2 linked regions of the Macaca mulatta genome follow. The main gene of each other region encodes a partner of the protein of the gene in region 2 in a complex. Links are inferred from orthologs where the notes say so. Each region holds a gene or a part of one and is shown on either strand. Other genes may lie near its edges. The genes, in order: LIN52 and RBL2.

Region 1 (9,397 bases), on a different chromosome or scaffold from region 2:
CCACCTTGGCCTCCCAAAGTGCTGGGATTACAGGCATGAGCCACAGCGCCTGGCCTCTTCTTGTGATTTTTACCAGACCACTTGCCTAACTTTGTTGATACTTTGTTGATTTTGATTTTTAGCTTTTTGTTTTTCTTTTTATCTCTTCATCGTTTTTTACATGTTTCCTTTTTTTTTTTTTTTTTTTTTTTTCAATTTTTTTTGAGACAGGTTTCATTCACTCTGTCACCCAGGCTGGAGTGTAGCGGTGCAATCTCAGCTCGCTGCAACCTCTGCCTCTGGTTCAAGCGATTCTCCCACTTAGTACAAAAAAATTCTAAAAATGTGATTAATTCAATACCTTTTATATCTGCATATAAGACCCTAAAAATGGGTTAAGTTATCTTATCTCAGTAATTTCCCCTACCAGTGGCTTATCTTGTATCCTTGGACTCTGTTGGTTTTCAGTGGTATCAGGCAATGAATGCTCTATTACATTAAACAGGAATGTTAGCTAAAGTTGATGAAACTACCTTGGACTGATTAGTCCTTCAAGAACAATTTAATTGTTTTAAAATAAAGCTTTCAAATATTTAACCATTTTGAATAGCAAAAGAATGAAGTGTCCTGTTTAGCAACTGTTTGGGTGACTACTTCATACAAGGCTATGTAGGGGATAGGAAGATAATTACTGCCCTCGTGTAGATTAAAATCTAGTACGAAAGGAAGATAAGACAACTAAGGTAAATGATTCTTAAAAAAATATAGAGGAGAAAAGCTCTATGAGAGTACAAAGAACTATATGGATAGGGGAGAAGAGGACAATTGCATCAGATTGCTACAGGAGTGGCAGGTAAGTTTCATTTATAGTAAGACCTGCCTAGAACCATTGAATTGACAAGGATTTTGAGAGGGAGCCTAGATTCAGAGGAGAAGGCAATTAGTGATGTCTGTTATAGACAAGGGAAATGAGTGTAGTAATATGTGCAATTTCTGGAACATTGAAAATAAACCTGGCCAGGTGCAGTGGCTCACGCCTATAATCCCAGCTCTTTGGAAGGCCGAGTTGGGTGATCACCTGAGGCCAGGAGTTCAAGATCAGCCTGGCCAACATGGTGAAACCCTGCCTCTACTAAAAATAAAAAAATTAGCCAGGCGTGGTGGCCGGCGCCTGTAATCTCAGCTACCCAGGAGGCTGAGGCGGGAGAATGACTTGATTCCGGGAGGCAGAGGTTGCAGTGAACTGAGATGATGCCACTGCACTCCAGCCTGGGTGACAGAGCGAGACTCTGTCTCAAAAAAAAAAAAAAAGGAAGGAAGGAAGGAAAGAAAACTTTAAAGAACACAGAGATGGGTAGAAATGGAAAGGGAGCATATTCTAGGTAGAGCGAATGTTAAAGAGTTTGAAAGCAACAGCTATGTTCAAGGAATGGTGTGAGTGGCTGAATCTAGACCCCAGGTTATATTAGGTCTCATAATGACTAAGACTAGGAAGGAGATAGAGGGGCCAGACTGAGGAGGGCCTTGAACTCCAGGGATCAAGGAGTTATACTCAGTGGTAGTAGGGAGCATGTGAAATGTTCTTTAAAAAGTATCTTGGCCGGGCGTGATGGCTCATGCCTGTAATCCCAGCACTTTGGGAGGCTGAGGCAGGCGGATCATGAGGCCAGGAGATCAAGACCATCCTGGCTAACACGGTGAAACCCCGTCTCTACTAAAAAAATACAAAAAAACAAATTAGCCAGGCGTGGTGGCGGGCACCTGTAGTCCCAGCTACTCGGGAGGCTGAGGCAGGAGAATGGCGTGAACCTGGGAAGTGGAGGTTGCAGTGAGCCCAGATCGTGCCACTGCACTCCAGCCTGGGTGACAGAGCGAGACTCCGTCTCAAAAATAAAAAAAATAAAAAAAAGTATTCTAATGCTATCACATTAACTGTGTGCATTATAGATGGTTTGGGGAGACACTTTACTAAAAGATATTTTACTACAATTTTTTTATTGTAAAAGTAAAGAAGAAAGTAAAAAAAAGAAAACCAACAAACCATAGCCTTACCACTAAGAGATAACCACTATTAACATTTCATGTGTTTCCTGGCCCCACTTTTAGTCCCTTTATGTGTCTATGTGTGTGTTTATATTTATACTTGCATCCGTTCATGTACCATGTACACAGATAATGCTTCTTTTCTTTCTTTTCTTTCTTTTTTTTTTTTTTTTTTTGAGACAGGGTCTCCCTCTGTCACCCAGGCTGGAGTGCAATGGCGCAATCTTGGCTCACTGCAACCTCTACCTCTCGGGCTCAAGCAAGTCCCCCACTTCAGCTTCCCAAGTAGCTGGGACCACAGGTGTGAGCCACAGCGCCTGGCCAGAAATGCTTTTTTAATATAACTGAGATTGTTGTGTGTGTGCGTGTAGTTTTAACTTGTGCTTTAAAAAATTTTATTCTATCTTAAGCATTTTCCTGTGTCATTAAAGGTTCTACCACTGAAGATTTTTGAATAGGAAAGATAAACACCTTTAGGAAGCATTAGTGCACAGGAGAGAATAGGATGGTAGAGACAGGAGGCAGGAAGTTACAGTGGGAATCCAGGATGAAGGATTGAGAGTTTGGATGGTGGCAGTAAGAATGGGAAGAAGTACACTGACAATAGATTTTTCAGATTTGGAATTTTTAGGAGTAGGTAAATGTCTGGATGGGGATGTTACGGGATAAGCTGAAGTTAGAGCTTACCATGATGTTTTAGCCTAATTAATGACAGGGAAGTCAGAAGGAGGCTAGATGCCTGCTTAACAACAACAACAACAACAAAAATCACATAATTCTTTTACATGCTCCTTTGTAGGAAGGCATCTTTATTTTCTTAGAAATAAGTAAATGTCATTTGTAGAGGTTAGAGGTTAGTGTTATTAATAAGATGTCTAGTTCAGTCATATTACCTAGGCAACAGGTAATGTTTTAGATAGTGAACGGTGAGTTATTTGATCTGAAAGAAATCAATAGGTGAAATAGGATATCCATAACTTCAGAAATTGACTTGTGAAGTCCCTATTTTCTTTGGCTGGTCATTAGGCTGCTAAGTAGAATGACTGACTTTTGTATAGTTTTCTTTTCTTTGAGACAGAGTCTCGCTGTGTCACCCAGGCTGGAGTGCAGTGGTGCGATCTTGGCTCACTGCAAGGTCCACCTCCTGGGTTCATGCCATTCTCCTGCCTCAGCCTCCCTAGTAGCTGGGACTACAGGTGCCCGCCACCACGCCCGGCTAAGTTTTTGTATTTTTAGTAGAGCTGAGGTTTTATCGTGTTAGCCAGAATGGTCTCCATCTCCTGACCTCATGATCCGCCCGCCTCAGCCTCAGAAAGTGCTGGGATTACAGGCATGAGCCACCGCGCCCAGCCTTTTGTATAGTTTTCTTCCACAGTAGTGCTTTTTCATTCGGGTACCTACCTATGAACTTTTCCTGAACTTTCCTACAAGTTTAGAAAGTTGTCATGGCCTCTGTATACGGTAGACATCCAGTTCTTTGTTAACTGGAAAAAAGTTTCAGAAGTTTAAATCTGAAGTAACAGGAATTGGTCCAAAATATTTGTTGTTGCTCGTGTTTTAAGTAAGTGACATTGGATTATATCAGCACTGGGATAACTCTCGTTAGGTGTTATGACTGCAATTTACATGCAATTGGAGATTAGTGATTGAGAGGGAAACAAACTGCCAAATTATCTTCCAAAAAGGTACTCCCCACTCCATATCCTTGCTAATAACAAGTATTATAATTTTTTAAAGTCATTGCCAACTTGATAGGCAAAATATTAATGTGTTGTTCTAATGTTCATTTCTTCTATTGTGAAGATGAGCTTTTTTTTTTTTTTTTCATGTTTCTTGATCCTATCTGTTGACGAGGGCTGGAAGTTAAAGATTTAAGTATAAATTTAAATTATTTTAACCTGAAAAATAAAGCCAGGGAACTTGATTCAAAAGCACCCTAAAGACATTGTGTTGAAATCTGTGTCTCAAATACCGATGGAACCTTATCCTTGTTTTCTTTGTTTTGTGCATTACTTTACCATCTTGCCATGGTCATTAGCTTTGTACCTATTTAGGTTACAGCATAAAATCCAGGAACTCCACCTTGAAGGGATCATGGTTATTCTTCTTAATTAGAAATTGTCAATTTAGCCTTAAGTATTTTGTTTTTTAAAATGTTTTATGATATTGTGAAATAAATCATGCCGTTATTTCTCATTTTTCCTTTGGTTAACAAATTAGGATATACAAATCTTCAAATTACCTTTAAGGCTTGTAAACATTCAAATCTTTTATCCGTTAGTCATTTCATAAACCCAACATTGCCTCTGAAATGGCTTTACACACAAAGAGGATTTTACCATAAAATGCTTGTGGTAGTTTATTCTCTTCTGATTTTTTGTAGGGGAAGGGGAGAGGAGAGTAGGCAGAATATAAATTAATTTGGATGGTGTTGGTTTCAAAGTAGCATTCCATATAATTCTGCAGAAAATATGATAAATAAGAAAATGGGCCAGGCACTGTGGCTCATGCCGTAATCCCAGCACTTTGGGAGGCCAAGGCGGGCAGATCACCTGAGATTGGGAGATTGAGACCACACTGGCCAATATGGTGAAACCCTGTCTCTACTAAATACAAAACCTAACCAGGTGTGGTGGCACATGCCTGTGGTCCCAGCTACTGGGGAGGCTGAGGCATGAGAATCGCTTGAACCCAGGAGATAGAGGTTATAGTGAGCCAAGATCAAGCCACTGCGCTCCAGCCTGGGCAACAGAGTGAGACTCTGTCTCAAAAATAAAAAATAAAGTACATAGTAAAACAAAGTTCAACATTTGGGAAATAGCAGGTCAATTACAGTGTTACCCATACAGGAGAATACAATGTAGTCATTAAAAAACATTAAAAGGACTGGCCACCGTGGCTTATGCCTGTAATCCCAGCACTTTGGGAGGCCAAGGTAGGCAGATCACTTGAGGTCAGGAGTTCGAGACCAGCCTGGCCAAGCTCGTGAAACCCCATCTCTACTAAAAATACAAAAATCAGTTGCTCGTAGTGGTGGACACCTGTAATCCCAGCTACTCTGGAGACTGAAGCAGGAGAATCACTTGAACCCAGGAGGTGGAGCCTGCAGTGAGCTGCCAAGATTGTGCCACTGCACTCCAGCCTGGATGACAGAGTAGGACTATGTCTCTTAAAAAAAAAAAAAAAAAAAAAAAAAAGCACTAAAGGGCATTTCATGCCAGAAAGGTTTCATTATATATAAGGATAATAGCAAGTGACAAAATGCAGAATATAAAATTTTACAGCAGGTATCTTTTTTTTTTTTTCTTTTGAGAGCATGAACATAGACAAATGGCTAGAAGGAAATACATCAGTATGTTTTAATGGCTATCTTGAGTGGTTTTTAAAAATTTCTAAATTTTCCAAATTTACAATAAACATTCTAGGCTGTTGAATAGGAAAAATACTACTTTAAAAAACAGGGAAAAGTTGTATGCCATTTTAGAAACAAAATTGTACTTACATCTCTGAATTTTCTAGGCAGTTAAATTTTTGAGCTCTTCTGTGAACTGTTTCTAAATAAAAATGAGTAGATCCATTAACAACAATTGATCAGTTTATACAAGTGATAAATAGCAAGGTGAACGTTTCCCATACATACCTCATTTCCCATACTTAGGATGCCCTTGCATAAATCGAAATTAGGAGCAAAAGAAATGGTAGGCTGTTGGGTCATGGGCAAGAGATGATTTAGTTGGCCAAAGGGCATATTTTCTTAAGCAAATGTTGGCCAAGATGTTACTTTATGTTTTCAGACTGTCTTCGCTATAGTTGGAGAACTGTGAACTCTTAGTATTAACTACTCATTAGGAGCAAAGAACCATTTGGAATGTCTGTCAGTCTTAAATAGAACTGCAGCTGTTTGGCTGAGAGGTGAAATGGACCTGGAATTTTGGTTTTGTTTTTTTTTTTTTTTTGAGGCGGGGGGGCTTTGAAAGTAGTTTTGGTATAACAAAGAGGTGATGAGAACTAAGTAATTACAAAAGTGTTCATAGCAGTTCAGTTTCTTTCCAGCCTTTGGGTTTGAGAATGACTGTTTCTGCCCATGGGGAAATCAGTTGGTGTTTTTCTGATTTTGTTTGTTTGTTTTTTAAGTTATTGATGTTCTAGAAATTTCAACAAAATAAGGAGTGTTTTTGTATTTCAAATGTAGTGCCCGTTTCTTTATTTCTTTCTGGTTCTTGCCACTGGTTTGTGTTGATAATATGATCTGGAAGGGTAGTGATAGTGCATGGGAATTTGTAAATGATCACAAAGTACCTTGTCACAGGAAATCTAGAGAAATAATGACTTTGGCATATGTATAAGAGAAATATCTCTAACTGTTAAGTCTAAACTAAAAAGTTGGTACTTTGCTTTTACTTTTTGGTTTGGTATAACCAAAAAAAAAAAATTGAAAAATAAAATAGAAGCAATGATTTGTTTTCTCAGGTGTAGTTGTATTTGACTGACTCTATTGTAAGAAGACACGTTTAAGACTGAATGGTTGGATAATGGTAGGTGAATCTGATAGGCTGAAGTTTTGGATATGGAATGAAAAGAGAAGAGAGAGCTGGGCAAGCTGAGGATTCCTGTCATTCCAACTACTGGGAAAGCTGAGGTGGGAGGATCACCTGAGCCCTGGAGTTTGAGACTGCAGTGAGCTATGATCATGCCACTGCATTCCAGTCTGGATGACAGAGTGAGACCCTGTCTCAATAAATAAATAAAAAGAGAAAAGCACTAAAATGAGAATTCTGATTCAGAATATAAAAATATTCTACTGTCCCATTATTTTTTGTTCTTTAATAAGCTTTAACATTGACGTATAATGTATATAAAGAAAAGCACACAAATTATAATGTGCAGCTCTCAATGAATTTTCATAAAATTAACACTCTCCTGTAACCACTGGTCAAAACAGATCAAGATACAGAACGTTGCGCCTGGTGCTGTGGCTCATGCCTGTGATCCCAACACTTTGGGAGGCTGAGGCTGGCAGATAACTTGAGCTCAGGAGTTCCAGACCAGCCTGGGCAACATGACAAAATCTGGTCTCTACAAAATATACAAAAACTAGCCGGGCCTGCTGGTGTACACCTGTAGTCCTAGCTACTTAGGGAGGCTGAGGTAGGAGGATCCCCTGAACCTGGGAAGTCAAGGCTGGAGTGAACCAAGATTGCACCATTGTACTCCAGCCTGAGTGACAGGAGTGAGACCCTATCTCAAAAAAAAAAAACAAAACACCTTTCTAGTATATAAATACAAAATTTCCTTTGTACCCCTTCTAGTCCCTACTTGCCCCTTCCTCTCAAAGACAAGCATTACTGTGACTTATACTATCATAATTTTGTTTATCTTTGAACTTTATGTAAATAGAACAACAAATCATGTACTCTTTTGTGTCTGCCTTCTTTTGATCAGCGTTTAAATTATGACATCAGCTATATCATTTGGATTTTCTCCCATTGCTATGTAGTATTTCTGTAAGAAGTTACCACGATTTATTTTCTCATTCTACTAATGATGGACATTTGGACTGTTTCCAGCTTTTAGTTATTACAAATAAATACTGTTAGTATTTTTGATATATGTCTTTTTTTGGTACATGCATTTTCTTTTTTTTGAGACACAGTCTTGCTCTGTTGCCCAGGCTGGAGTGCAGTGGTGACATCTCGGCTCACTGCAAGCTTTGCCTCATGAGTTCACGCCATTCTCCTGCCTCAGCCTCCCGAGCAGCTGGGACTACAGGCACTCGCCACCAGGCCCAGCTAATTTTTTTTGTATTTTTAGTAGAGATGGGGTTTCACTGTGTTAGCCAGGATGGTCTTGATCTCCTGACCTCGTGATGCACCCACCTCGGCCTCCCAAAGTGCTGGGATTACAGGCATGAGCCACTGTGCCTGGCCAGTACATACATTTTCATTGGATATACAAGTAGGAAGTGGAATTGCTAGATCATAGGGGTATATATATATATTTAGCTTTAGTAGGTACTTCCAAATATTAATAGTTTTCCAAAGTGGTTATATCAATTTACAAGCCTAACAGCAATTTCAGTTGCTCCAAGTCCCTACCAACAGGTATATTCTCAGTCTTTTAACTTCTAGCCATTCTAGTAAATGGTATCTTAATGTGGTTTTAATTTGCGTTTTCTTAATGACTAATGAGGTTGAGCACCTTTTCATATGTTTATTGGCCATTTGGATAACATCTTTTGTGAAGTCCTTATTCGTGTCTCTTGCCCATCATGCATCTTTAAAAACTGGATTATCAATTTTTTTTTTTTTTTTTTTTTAGATGGAGTTTTACTCTTGTCGCCCAGGCTGGAGTACAATGGCACGATCTCAGCTCACTGCAACCTCTGCCTCCTGGGTTCAAGCGATCCTCCCGCCTCAGCCTCCTGAATAGCTGGGATTACAGGTGCGTGCTGCCACGTGTGCCTAATTTTTGTATTTTTAGTAGAGACAGGGTTTTACCATGTTGGCCAGGCTGGTCTCGAACTCATGACCTCAGATGATCCGCCTGCCTCAGCCTCCCAAAGTGCTGGGATTACAGGCATGAGCCACTGAGCCTGGCCTGGATTATCAGTCTTAAAAAAAATGATTTGTAAGTTTTGTTTATATGTGCTGGATATCCACCCTTTGTCAGTCACATAAATTGCAACTATTCCACTTAGTAGCATCTCTTTTAATTTTCTTAATGGTATGTTTTAATGAACCAAAGAGTTTTTCCCCCAACTTTTTATTTGTTGAAATTTGAAATCTTTAAAAAAGTTTTCGGGCGCGGTGGCTCAAGCCTGTAATCCCAGCACTTTGGGAGGCCGAGGCGGGCGGATCACGAGGTCAGGAGATCGAGACCATCCTGGCTAACACCGTGAAACCCCGTCTCTACTAAAAATACAAAAAGAAATTAGCCGGGCGTGGTGGCGGGCGCCTGTAGTCCCAGCGACTCCGGAGGCTGAGGCAGGAGAATGGCGTGAACCCGGGAGGCGGAGCTTGCAGTGAGCCGAGATCGCGCCACTGCACTCCAGTCTGGGCAACAGAGCGAGACTCCGTCTCAAAAAAAAAAAAAAAAAAGTTTTGGCCAGGTGTGGTGGCTCATACCTGTAATCCAGCACTTTGGGAGGCCAAGGCCGGTGGATCACCTAAGGTCAAGAGTTTGAGACTAGCCTGCCAAATATGGTGAAACCCTGTCTCTACTAAAAATACAAATATTAGGCCAGGCATGATGGCTCATGCCTGTAATCCCAGCACTTTGGGAGGCCGAGGTGGGCAGATCACCTGAGGTCAGGAGTTCGAGACCAGCCTGGCCAGCATTGTGAAACCCCGTCTCTACTAAAAATATAAAAGTTAGC
Region 2 (10,282 bases):
ATTTTAGAGTGGTATTTTTATTTTAATGGACTTCTGATGCTTTTTTATCTGCAAATCTTTAGTTTTTTGTTTTTGTAAACTGGAAATGAAATAGAAGCGTAGTGATTCTTAACATATTGAGAATAAGGACAGAAGATATCACTGTTACGGGCCCTGGCCTGGGAATTGTTTGATGTCAGGAATTGGAACTAAGTAGGTGTGGAATAGTAAGCCAGTTACATACCTCTTAGCGTGGATTTGTTTTGTTCAACCATAGAGGGGATAAAAGGGTGTAAGTCTTAAATAATATTATAGTTCTTTATGTGCAAATTCATTTAATAATTTTAGAAAAATGTGACTGTTACCATGAAGAAAATTAAGGTATCTTAGGGATAATTAAAACACCAGTCATAAGAAGTTTGTATATCTAAAGTATTGGGTTGGTTTTTAAATTTTATTTTGTGAGTAAAGAAGGATGAATGGGCCTTTATTTTCTTTGTGTGCCATTTTTGTGGATTTTTTTATTATTTCTACAGAAATTGCCAGCAAACATTTTCGTTTTGCGGAGATGCTTTACTATAAAGTATTAGAATCTGTTATTGAGCAGGAACAAAAAAGACTAGGAGACATGGATTTATCTGTGAGTAAAATAACCAATGTATTGATCAGCACAGTAAAACATAATTTCCTTCCTGCCCCATTCTGTAGGTTGTTTTTTTACTTTATTTATAGTCTCCTTTCATGCACAGAAGTTTTTAATTTTGATGAAATCCAATTTATTTTTTCACTAGTTGCCTGTGCTTTTTTTTTAATGTGTGTATGTGTGTATGTATGTATGTATGTATGTATGTATGTATGTATTATTTGAGATGGAGTCTTGCACTGTCGCCCAGGCTTGAGTATAATGGCACGATCTCAGCTCAATGCAACCTCTGCCTCCTGGGTTCAAGCAATTCTCCTGCCTCAGTCTCCCAAGTAGCTGGGATTATAGGCATGTGCCACCATGCCCAGCTAAGTTTTGTATTTTCAGTAGAGACGGGGTTTTGCCATGTTTGGCCAGGCAGGTCTGGAACCCCAGACGTCAGGTGGTCTGTGCGCCTTGGCCTCCCAAAGTGCTAGGATTACAGGCGTGAGCCACTGCGCCTGGCCTGTTACCTGTGCTTTTGGTGCCTCAGTAGCTTTTAATTAAAAAATAATAATTGTTTACAATGTTGGAAAATTATAAGCAAAAAGAAGAAAATAAAAATCACCTATGATTAATGTCATCCTGTGATAAACATATTGACTTTTGGTACATGGTCATCTAGCCAGTCACCTGCCTGCTTGCTTTTCTGTTTTTTTGGGTTTGTTGTTGAGACAGAGTCTCACTCTGTTGCCCAGGCTAGAGTGTAGTGGTACAATCTTGGCTCACTGCAACCTCTGCCTCCCAGATTCAAGCGATTCTTGAACAGTATTGCCCAGGCTGGTCTCAAACTCTGGACCTCAAGTGATCTGCCCGCCTTGGCCCCCCAAAGTGCTGGGATTATAGGTATGAGCCACCCGCCTGGCCCCTTTCAATTTTTTTTTTTTCTTTTTTTTCTCTCTTTTTTTTTTTCAGCCAGAGTTTCACTCTTGTTGCCCAGGCTGGAGTGCAGTGGTGCAGTGTTGGCTCACTGCAGCCTCTACCTCCTGGGTTCAAGTGCTTCTCCTGCCTCAGCCTCTGAGTAGCTGGGACTACAGGTGTGTGCCACCACACCTGGCTAATTTTCTATTTTTAGTAGAGATGGGGTTTCACCATGTTGGTCAGGCTGGTCTCGAACTCCTGACCTCAGGTGATCTGCCCACCTTGGCCTCCCAAAGTGCTAGCATTACAGGCATAAGCCACCGCGCCTGGCCCCCCTTTCAGTTTTTTATAGCACTGACTGTAAATACTGTTTTGAAACATCTTTCTCTGTCATTGTTCTTCTAAGCATCAGGGGGTGTGTGTATTTTGGTTAGAGATGTAATCTCTTTTAAGATATAATAGGTAAGGTTTTAAAAGTCTCATACATTCCTTTAATATGTTTCCTCTACTAAAAAATGGGCTTTATTTATATAATTAAGAAAGGTTTTGTAAGAAAATAAGCATACACTTTGCACTCAGTCAGAAAATGAGACTTTCTTTGGTATTTTCACTTAAATTCACTGGGTATGAAATGACTTTTTAGATTAAGTAAATGTTTCTGAATGCTAATAACTGTATTTTATAGGGTATTCTGGAACAAGATGCCTTCCACAGATCTCTGTTGGCCTGCTGCCTTGAGGTCGTCACTTTTTCTTACAAGCCTCCTGGGAATTTTCCATTTATTACTGAAATATTTGAAGTGCCTCTTTATCATTTTTATAAGGTATTTTTAAAAATATGATATAATGTGGATATTGTAGATGAGACCAACTTCCTGTTGTTAGTCATTTAGTTCAAGTTAACATCTAAGTATATTTATTCTGTTTTTAATTACATAATTAATCACTATTTGTGGAGTAGAAAAGAAATAGAATCTTAAGACCTATGTAAATTTTTTAATATTGTATGAAAGATCCATTTTGGGTAAAAGCTTTGATTCCTCTCTTTATGTAATAACAGTTTTTAGAATACTGTGATTTTTATGAGATGAGAAGGCTTAAAAAAGTAGCACACATGTCACTAGCTAATCTTGTATAGCAGCCTTTTTTTATTTTATGAAAATTAAATACCACTGTAAATGTCAGAAAAAAATGAAAGTTCTCTTTCATGTGTTACAGAGAGGCATAGAGTTAAAGCATTGATTTGGTAGCTATTTCTTGATACTGAGCATATGAGTTTATCTTAACTCTCATAAGATAGTCAAAACTAATTTTTATAGTGGTATAGATTAAATGTTTAGAGATTTTTATATGTATTAAATGTATAGTATAGATTTTATTAATATTAATAAAATTAATATTAATAAATATTTATATTTATTAATATTTTATTAAATGTATAATATAGATTTTACATATATTAAATGTATAGAAATTTTAAGAGTAATGTTTTCAACCTCAATATACATGTATTTTCATTAAAAACTTTTGAAATACATCACAATGTAAACCATTTTATATAATTCACATGGTTTGAACTATAATTATTTACAAAGACAGTAAAAGGAAGAGCAGCTGTTTCAAAATATTTCAACTTGTAATTTTTGACTAATTTCTTGTCTAAATATTCAAAAATATTTAATAATTATTATTCAGTGAATCAGGACATTTTTTATTTCAGGTGATAGAAGTATTCATTAGAGCAGAAGATGGCCTTTGTAGAGAGGTGGTAAAACACCTTAATCAGATTGAAGAACAGATCTTAGATCATTTGGCATGGAAACCAGAGTCTCCACTCTGGGAAAAAATTAGAGACAATGAAAACAGAGTTCCTACATGTGAAGAGGTTTGTGAAAATAACATCTTTTTATGAGAAAAATACATCAATATCTAATCTATTAATAATCCTTTTGGGGATGGGAGGGTGGCAATTGGGTTTAATATGTTGTAATTAATTACACCTTGTTATGAGAAAAACTTGGGACTGTAACGTCGTCCCTCTCTACCCGCAAATTAGGAAGGTGCCAAGAGACAAAGAATGACTCAGACAAGTCCAGCTTGGCAAGTAGATATGTTTATTAAGACTTAGATATGTAGGGGCTGGGCGCGGTGGCTCATGCCTGTAATCCCAGCACTTTGGGAGGCGGAGACCGGTGGATCACCTGAGGTTGGGAGTTTGAGACCAGCCTAACCAACATGGAGAAAACCCGTCTCTATAAAAATACAAAAAATTAACCAGGCGTGGTGATGCATGCCTGTAATCCCAGCTACTTGGGAGGATGAGGCGGAAGAATTGCTTGAACCCCGGGAGGTGGAGGTTGTGGTGAGCCAAGATTGTGCCATTGCACTTCAGTCTGGGCAACAAAAGCGAGACTCCGTCCCAAAAAAAAAAAGAGAGACTTACATACGGAGGAGGCAGAGGTGGTGGGGAAAAATAAAAGACTTATATACAGGGTACTCCTAGGTAGCAGCAGGACAGCTCTAGAGATCCTCACCACCTCCCATTGCTAAGCTGCTAATTTTCTGGCTCTTTGCCTACTATGTGTGTGCACGATGGGACTGTTTTCCTTGGTAGTTTCTCAGATCCTCTCTGGGATGTTTGGGTTATCAGGGACACCTGCTCCTTGGCTGGGCACCATGGCCTTGGCTCACTACCCAGCCTTCAGGGTTTAGGCAGCAGACATACACCCTTAAGTAAGGTAAGTGACCTGTCATACTTCACCCCATGTCAAAGAGGAAACGAGTCAGATAATTTGTAGTTGTCCTAAGATTTTGGTGACAGAGTAAAAATTCAGTGTTCTTTCTTGATTTCCTTATCAGGTTTCTCTCCCATAGAGCAGTGGTCCAACCTTTTTGGCACCAAGGACCAATTTCATGGAAGACAATTTTTCCATGGACAGGGTTGGGGGTGGGAGAGATTTTGGGATGATTCAAATGCCTTACATTTATTGCACACTTTATTTCTATTATTATTACGTGGTAATATATAATGAAATAATTACATAATTCACCAAAATATACAGTCAGTGGGAGCCCTGAGCTTGTCTTCCTGCAACTAGATGGTCCCATCTGGAGGTGGTGGGAGACAGTGACAGATGAGCAGGCATTAGATTCTCATAAGGAGCATGCAACCTAGATCCCTTACGTGTGCAGTTCACAATAGGGTTCACACTCCTATGAGAATCTAATGCCACCACTAATCTGACAGGCGGCCAGCACAGGTAGCAATGTGAGTGATGGGGAGCAGCTATAAATACAGATGAAGCTTTGCTCACTTGCTTACTTGCCTGCTGCTCACTTCCTGCTATGTTGCCCGGTTCCTAACAGGGTCCACGGCCCAGGGGTTGGGGACCCCTGCTTTAGAGTGGTTGATATTCAAACTCTCCAAACCAGTAATGAAGGTTGACTCATATTTAGTATCCAATTACAAGGTTTTGCATTTTTTGACTGACAAAAGTTTTTTTTTTTTAACTTTATTATGAAAATGGGAAAGACAGCTGATTTTATTTAGATGGAATAATCGTTAAGAGACTTTTTCCGCCTTAGATTACTATTGGATTTCTAATTAAAGTGCTGTTTTGGATCCTGGCATTCTGTGTAACCAATTCTTCACAGGTCATGCCACCTCAGAACCTGGAAAGGGCAGATGAAATTTGCATTGCGGGCTCCCCTTTGACTCCCAGAAGGGTGACTGAAGTTCGTGCTGATACTGGAGGTCTTGGAAGGAGTAAGTTTAAAATACTAGGGGAATATTTTGGGGCTTACTATCTGGAAATTTAAATTTTATTTAACCCTATAAGTGAAGTTAATAGGGTATATATTAGAAGAAAATATTCCATGCATTTTTGTGTCACATGAATCACTTAAAAGAAGGGCCTTTAAAGACTATTTAAGAACACAGGAAAATGCATGATATAACAGGTATCTTTTAAAAGGATAGACGATAGACTGCTATATTTATTTAATTTTTTTTTTTCTTTTGAGACAGAGTCTCGCTCTGTCGCTCAAGCTAGAGTGCAGCAGCCCAATCTCAGCTCACTGCAACCTCTGCCTGCCGGGTTCAAGCAATTCTCATGCCTCACCCTCCTGAGTAGATGGGACTACGGGCATGCGCCACCACGCCTAGCTAATTTTTTGTATTTTTGTAGAGACGTTTTGCCATATTGGCCAGGCTGGCCTCGAACTCCTGACTTGAAGCAATCCGCCTGCCTCGGCCTCCCAAAGTGCTAGAATTACAGGCATGAGGCACTGTGCCTGGCCGACTGCTATATATTTAATATGATCCCTATTTTTAAAGTGTATGTTTATTTATGAGCATGCAAAATGGTGGAAATGGAAAAACCAAACTGTTAAGATCATTGTTGGGTGATAGAATTCCTGGTGATTTCTGTAAAATTTTTAAGGCAAATACGTATTACTTTTAAAATCAGGAGAAATAGAAAAGCCTTCTTAAAGATAGAGCTGCATGATCCAGTTAGGTATAGACAAGGCAGTGAGTTAAGACAACTGAGTGTGTTCTACTGTGTTGAGCTGTGCTACCCTAGTTAATGACATTACTGCTGGCCCAAGAAATACAGAAAAGGGCAGTTTTGCTATCCATCTGGTTTATATTTTTTAGGCAGCTGCTTAGAAGATCTGCAAGGTGAAAGGTTTTAGTTTACATATGTGAGAGAGAACTGCTTTTTAAAGAGCAATTCAGTAAATCCAGAGAGTTCTAAATCCTTGGATCCAATTCAAAGAATATCCTTATTTCTAGATCACTTTTATAATGTAATTGGTAAGAACTGGCTACAGAAGAAATACGAGTTTTAAAGTCAGGAATCACTCTAGGCTGGGCATGGTGGCTCATGCCTGTAACCGCTGCACTGTGGGACACCTAGTCGGGAGGATCGCTTGAGCCCAGGAGTTCAAGACCATCCTGGGCAACATAGCAAGATGCCATCTCTACCCCCCCCCAAAAAAAAACAAAAATCACTCTAGGTCAGTGTATACTTAATAGACATGGATGATCCTTATGAAAAGTCCTTATTTTTGAAAGATCTGACAGTTGGTCTTTCTTAGTCTATTTTTGTAGAATTTTCCCTTCCCTAATCTACAGATTAGGAAGACTTGACTTTAAACTTCATTTTCTTTGTACTTATCACTTCTCAGTTTTCCTGAGATCTCTTGATATTTTACAAGAAAAAATGATCATAATGTATTCTTTCTGATTCTGCAGCGTTGTATCAAATACAAATCTAGTAAGTTTATTTACTTTTGTTATCATCTGGAAATTGAAATGTTAAGCCACAATTTATTAGTATTTACTCCTATCAATACTTCTTACAAACTTCCTACATATGTTTTAAAATTTAAAAACACACTGATGCACAGCTCTTAGAGGTGGACACAGAAGAAGGAAGAAATGCTTCTCAAAAATTCATACATTATTGTGAATACTTAAAAATAGACTAAGCCTTAATAGGTTGTTCAGATAATGAAGAAGTTTTACAAACAGTGGTGATTGTTGTGGCCACATTGTAAATGTAATTGATACCACTGAATCATACACTTAATCGTACCACTGAATCGTATACTTAAAAATGGATGAAATGGTAAATTTTGTTATATAAATATATATACATATATATATTTATAAATATATATAAATATATATACAAATATATTTATAAATATATATACAAATATATATATTTATATATTAAAATATACATATTTATATATATATTTTTTAAACCCACAATTTTAAAAAACTAGCCTGTAATACCAGCACTTTGGGAGGCCAAGGCGGGTGGATCACCTGAGGTCAGGAGTTTGAGACCAGCCTGGCCAACATGGTGAAACCCCATCTCTACTAAAAATACAAAAATTAGCCATGCCTGGTGGCATATGCCTCTAATCCCAGTTACTCAGGAGGCTGAGGCACAAGAATCACTTTAACCCAGGAGGCAGAGGTTGTATTGAGCCAAGATCAGGCCACTGCACTCCAGCCGGGGTGATAGAGTAAGACTCTATGTCTCAAAAAATAAAAAAAAATAACAGTTTACCCCAAACCATTGAATTGTACAATTTAAGTGGATGAAATTTATGGTATATAAACTGTTTTAAAAAAATAAATTATGCTTAATTGAATCCAAATCATGCATGTCTACCTTGCTTAAGAACATTATTGAGTTTTAATAATTTTTATATGTGGAAAAAGACAAAGATCAAAATTGATAAAACTGGTGGCGGAATGCTCCTAGATGACATACTACCAATCATGTCCCCTTAAGAAGTAGTGGCTCTATAGTAAAATCACATCTTACGTGAGTGGTAGGTGGAAACTAAATATGGCAGAAAATATTATAGAAAAATGTAGTACAGAAAAAAAGGGTAATTCCTTAAATCATGAAGGTTCTTCAGTAGTGGAAGACAGAGTCGGGTCTGATTTGGGAAAGGGGGAGTGGAGAAAGGAGCACTGCAAGACAAAAAATTCCATTTTAAAATTTGCTCTCAGTTGTGTTCACTGAACACTAATGAAAACTCACTAATGGATATAGGTAAGATGACTTGTGTAATTCTTGTTTGCTTTTTGAATTATGAAGTATTTCAAACACTGTAGTTATTTTTGAACATAACAGCTTGGATGAAAGTCAGATCTGAGTCTCCTTCAGTGAAATGCTTTGTTTGATTTGTTTTGAACCTAGGCATAACATCTCCAACCACATTATACGATAGATACAGCTCCCCACCAGCCAGCACTACCAGAAGGCGGCTATTTGTTGAGAATGATAGCCCCTCTGATGGAGGGACACCTGGGCGCATGCCCCCACAGCCTCTAGTCAATGCCGTCCCTGTGCAGAATGTATCTGGGGAGGCTGTTTCTGTCACACCGGTTCCTGGACAGACTTTGGTCACCATGGCAACCGCCACTGTCACAGCCAACAATGGGCAAACAGTAACCATTCCTGTGCAAGGTAAGGAAGGCAGAGTTGGATATTGAGTTCCTTCTCTGTGGCGTGTATTGAAAAGTTACCCGAGGTTTGGCTAGAGTGACGTAGGGGACAGAGGAGTGATGGGGAGAGAGGGTTCAGGAGAGGAGAAATTGTAAACCTCTGCCTGGAGAACCTCTTATTATCAACATTTTCTTCATGCCTTTTTTCTCTGTCACAAACTAGGTATTGCCAATGAAAATGGAGGGATAACATTCTTCCCTGTCCAAGTCAATGTTGGGGGGCAGGCACAAGCTGTGACAGGCTCCATCCAGCCCCTCAGTGCTCAGGCCCTGGCTGGAAGTCTGAGCTCTCAACAGATGACAGGAACAACTTTGCAAGTCCCTGGTCAAGTGGCCATTCAACAGATTTCCCCAGGTGGCCAACAGCAGAAGCAAGGCCAGTCTGTAACCAGCAGTAGTAATAGACCCAGGAAAACCAGCTCTTTATCACTTTTCTTTAGAAAGGTAATTTTTCACGTACTCTTACCAGAGCATGAGCTTGGGAAATACAAGTGTTAAACACAGTTTGAAATGTTTTTGTTTATCTCCTAGGTATACCATTTAGCAGCTGTCCGCCTTCGGGATCTCTGTGCCAAACTAGATATTTCAGATGAACTGAGGAAAAAAATCTGGACCTGCTTTGAATTCTCCATAATTCAGTGTCCTGAACTTATGATGGACAGACATCTGGACCAATTATTAATGTGTGCCATTTATGTGATGGCAAAGGTGAGTACCATTTTGGAACTGTAAAGGCAAATATAGGTCTTCATTACTGAGAACATTTTTTAACCGCTTTCTTGAAGTACAATTTACATGCTCTATAATTCATCTATTTAAAATGCACAACTAAAAGGGTCTTAGTATATTCACAGATATGTGCAATACTCACCACAATTTTAAAACAGAATATTCCATTATATAGTTATATGAGAGTATTTTTATCCATTTATTAGGTAATACATATTTTAGTTGTTTCTACTTTTGGCTATATGCATAATACTGCTATTAGCATTTGTGTTTGGGTTTTTGTATAGACATATATTTTCATTTCTCTAGGGTATATACCTAGTAATGGATTGCTGGGTCATACATTAACTATGTTTTAACCAGTTAGGGAATTGCCAGACTGTTTTCCAAAGTACTGTACCATTTTACACTTACACAGGCAGTATAATAAAGATTTTAGTTTCTCCACTTTCTCATTAACACTTATTATCTTACTTTGTTTAAATAACTTATTGAGGAGAAATTCACATAACAAAATTAACTGGGGTTTTTTTGGGTTTTTTTGTTTGTTTGCTTTTTGAGATATTGTTTCACTCTTGTCACCCAGGCTGGAGTGCAGTGGTGCATCTCAGCTCACTGCAACCTCTGTCTCCCAGGTTCAAGCGATTCTCCTGTCGTAGCCTCCTGAGTAGCTGGGATTACAGCCATGTGCCACCACGCCTGGCTAATTTTTGTATTTTTAGTAGAGATGGGATTTCACCATGTTGGCCAGGCAGGTCTCAAACTCCTGACCTCAGGTGATCCACCCACCTCGGCCTCCCAAAGTGCTGGGATTACAGGCATGAGCCACCGGGCCCAGCCAAATTAACTATTTTAAATTGAACAATTCAGGAGCATTTAGCACATTTACAGTACTAAGTGTAATCAATGGTTGTATACTCACCACTTCTATCTAGTTCCAGAACATTTCTGTACCTGCAAAGTAAAACTCCTTTCCTGTTAAGTAGTTTCTCCCCA

Evidence for each region.
Region 1: RBL2 (region 2) and LIN52 share a complex: the UniProt entries of both Homo sapiens proteins name them as parts of the DREAM complex. The link is inferred for Macaca mulatta from reciprocal best matches to the Homo sapiens genes RBL2 and LIN52.

The regions. Positions count from the first base shown.
Region 1 is NC_133412.1:147,296,585-147,305,981, forward strand, and holds the end of LIN52 (protein lin-52 homolog), read left to right. Parts: intron 1-2,205; coding exon 2,206-2,366; 3' UTR 2,367-4,321; downstream 4,322-9,397.
Region 2 is NC_133425.1:48,945,703-48,955,984, forward strand, and holds part of RBL2 (retinoblastoma-like protein 2), read left to right. Parts: intron 1-515; coding exon 516-619; intron 620-2,207; coding exon 2,208-2,345; intron 2,346-3,241; coding exon 3,242-3,406; intron 3,407-5,175; coding exon 5,176-5,287; intron 5,288-8,249; coding exon 8,250-8,519; intron 8,520-8,720; coding exon 8,721-9,001; intron 9,002-9,088; coding exon 9,089-9,265; intron 9,266-10,282. UniProt on the Homo sapiens protein: Key regulator of entry into cell division. Directly involved in heterochromatin formation by maintaining overall chromatin structure and, in particular, that of constitutive heterochromatin by stabilizing histone methylation.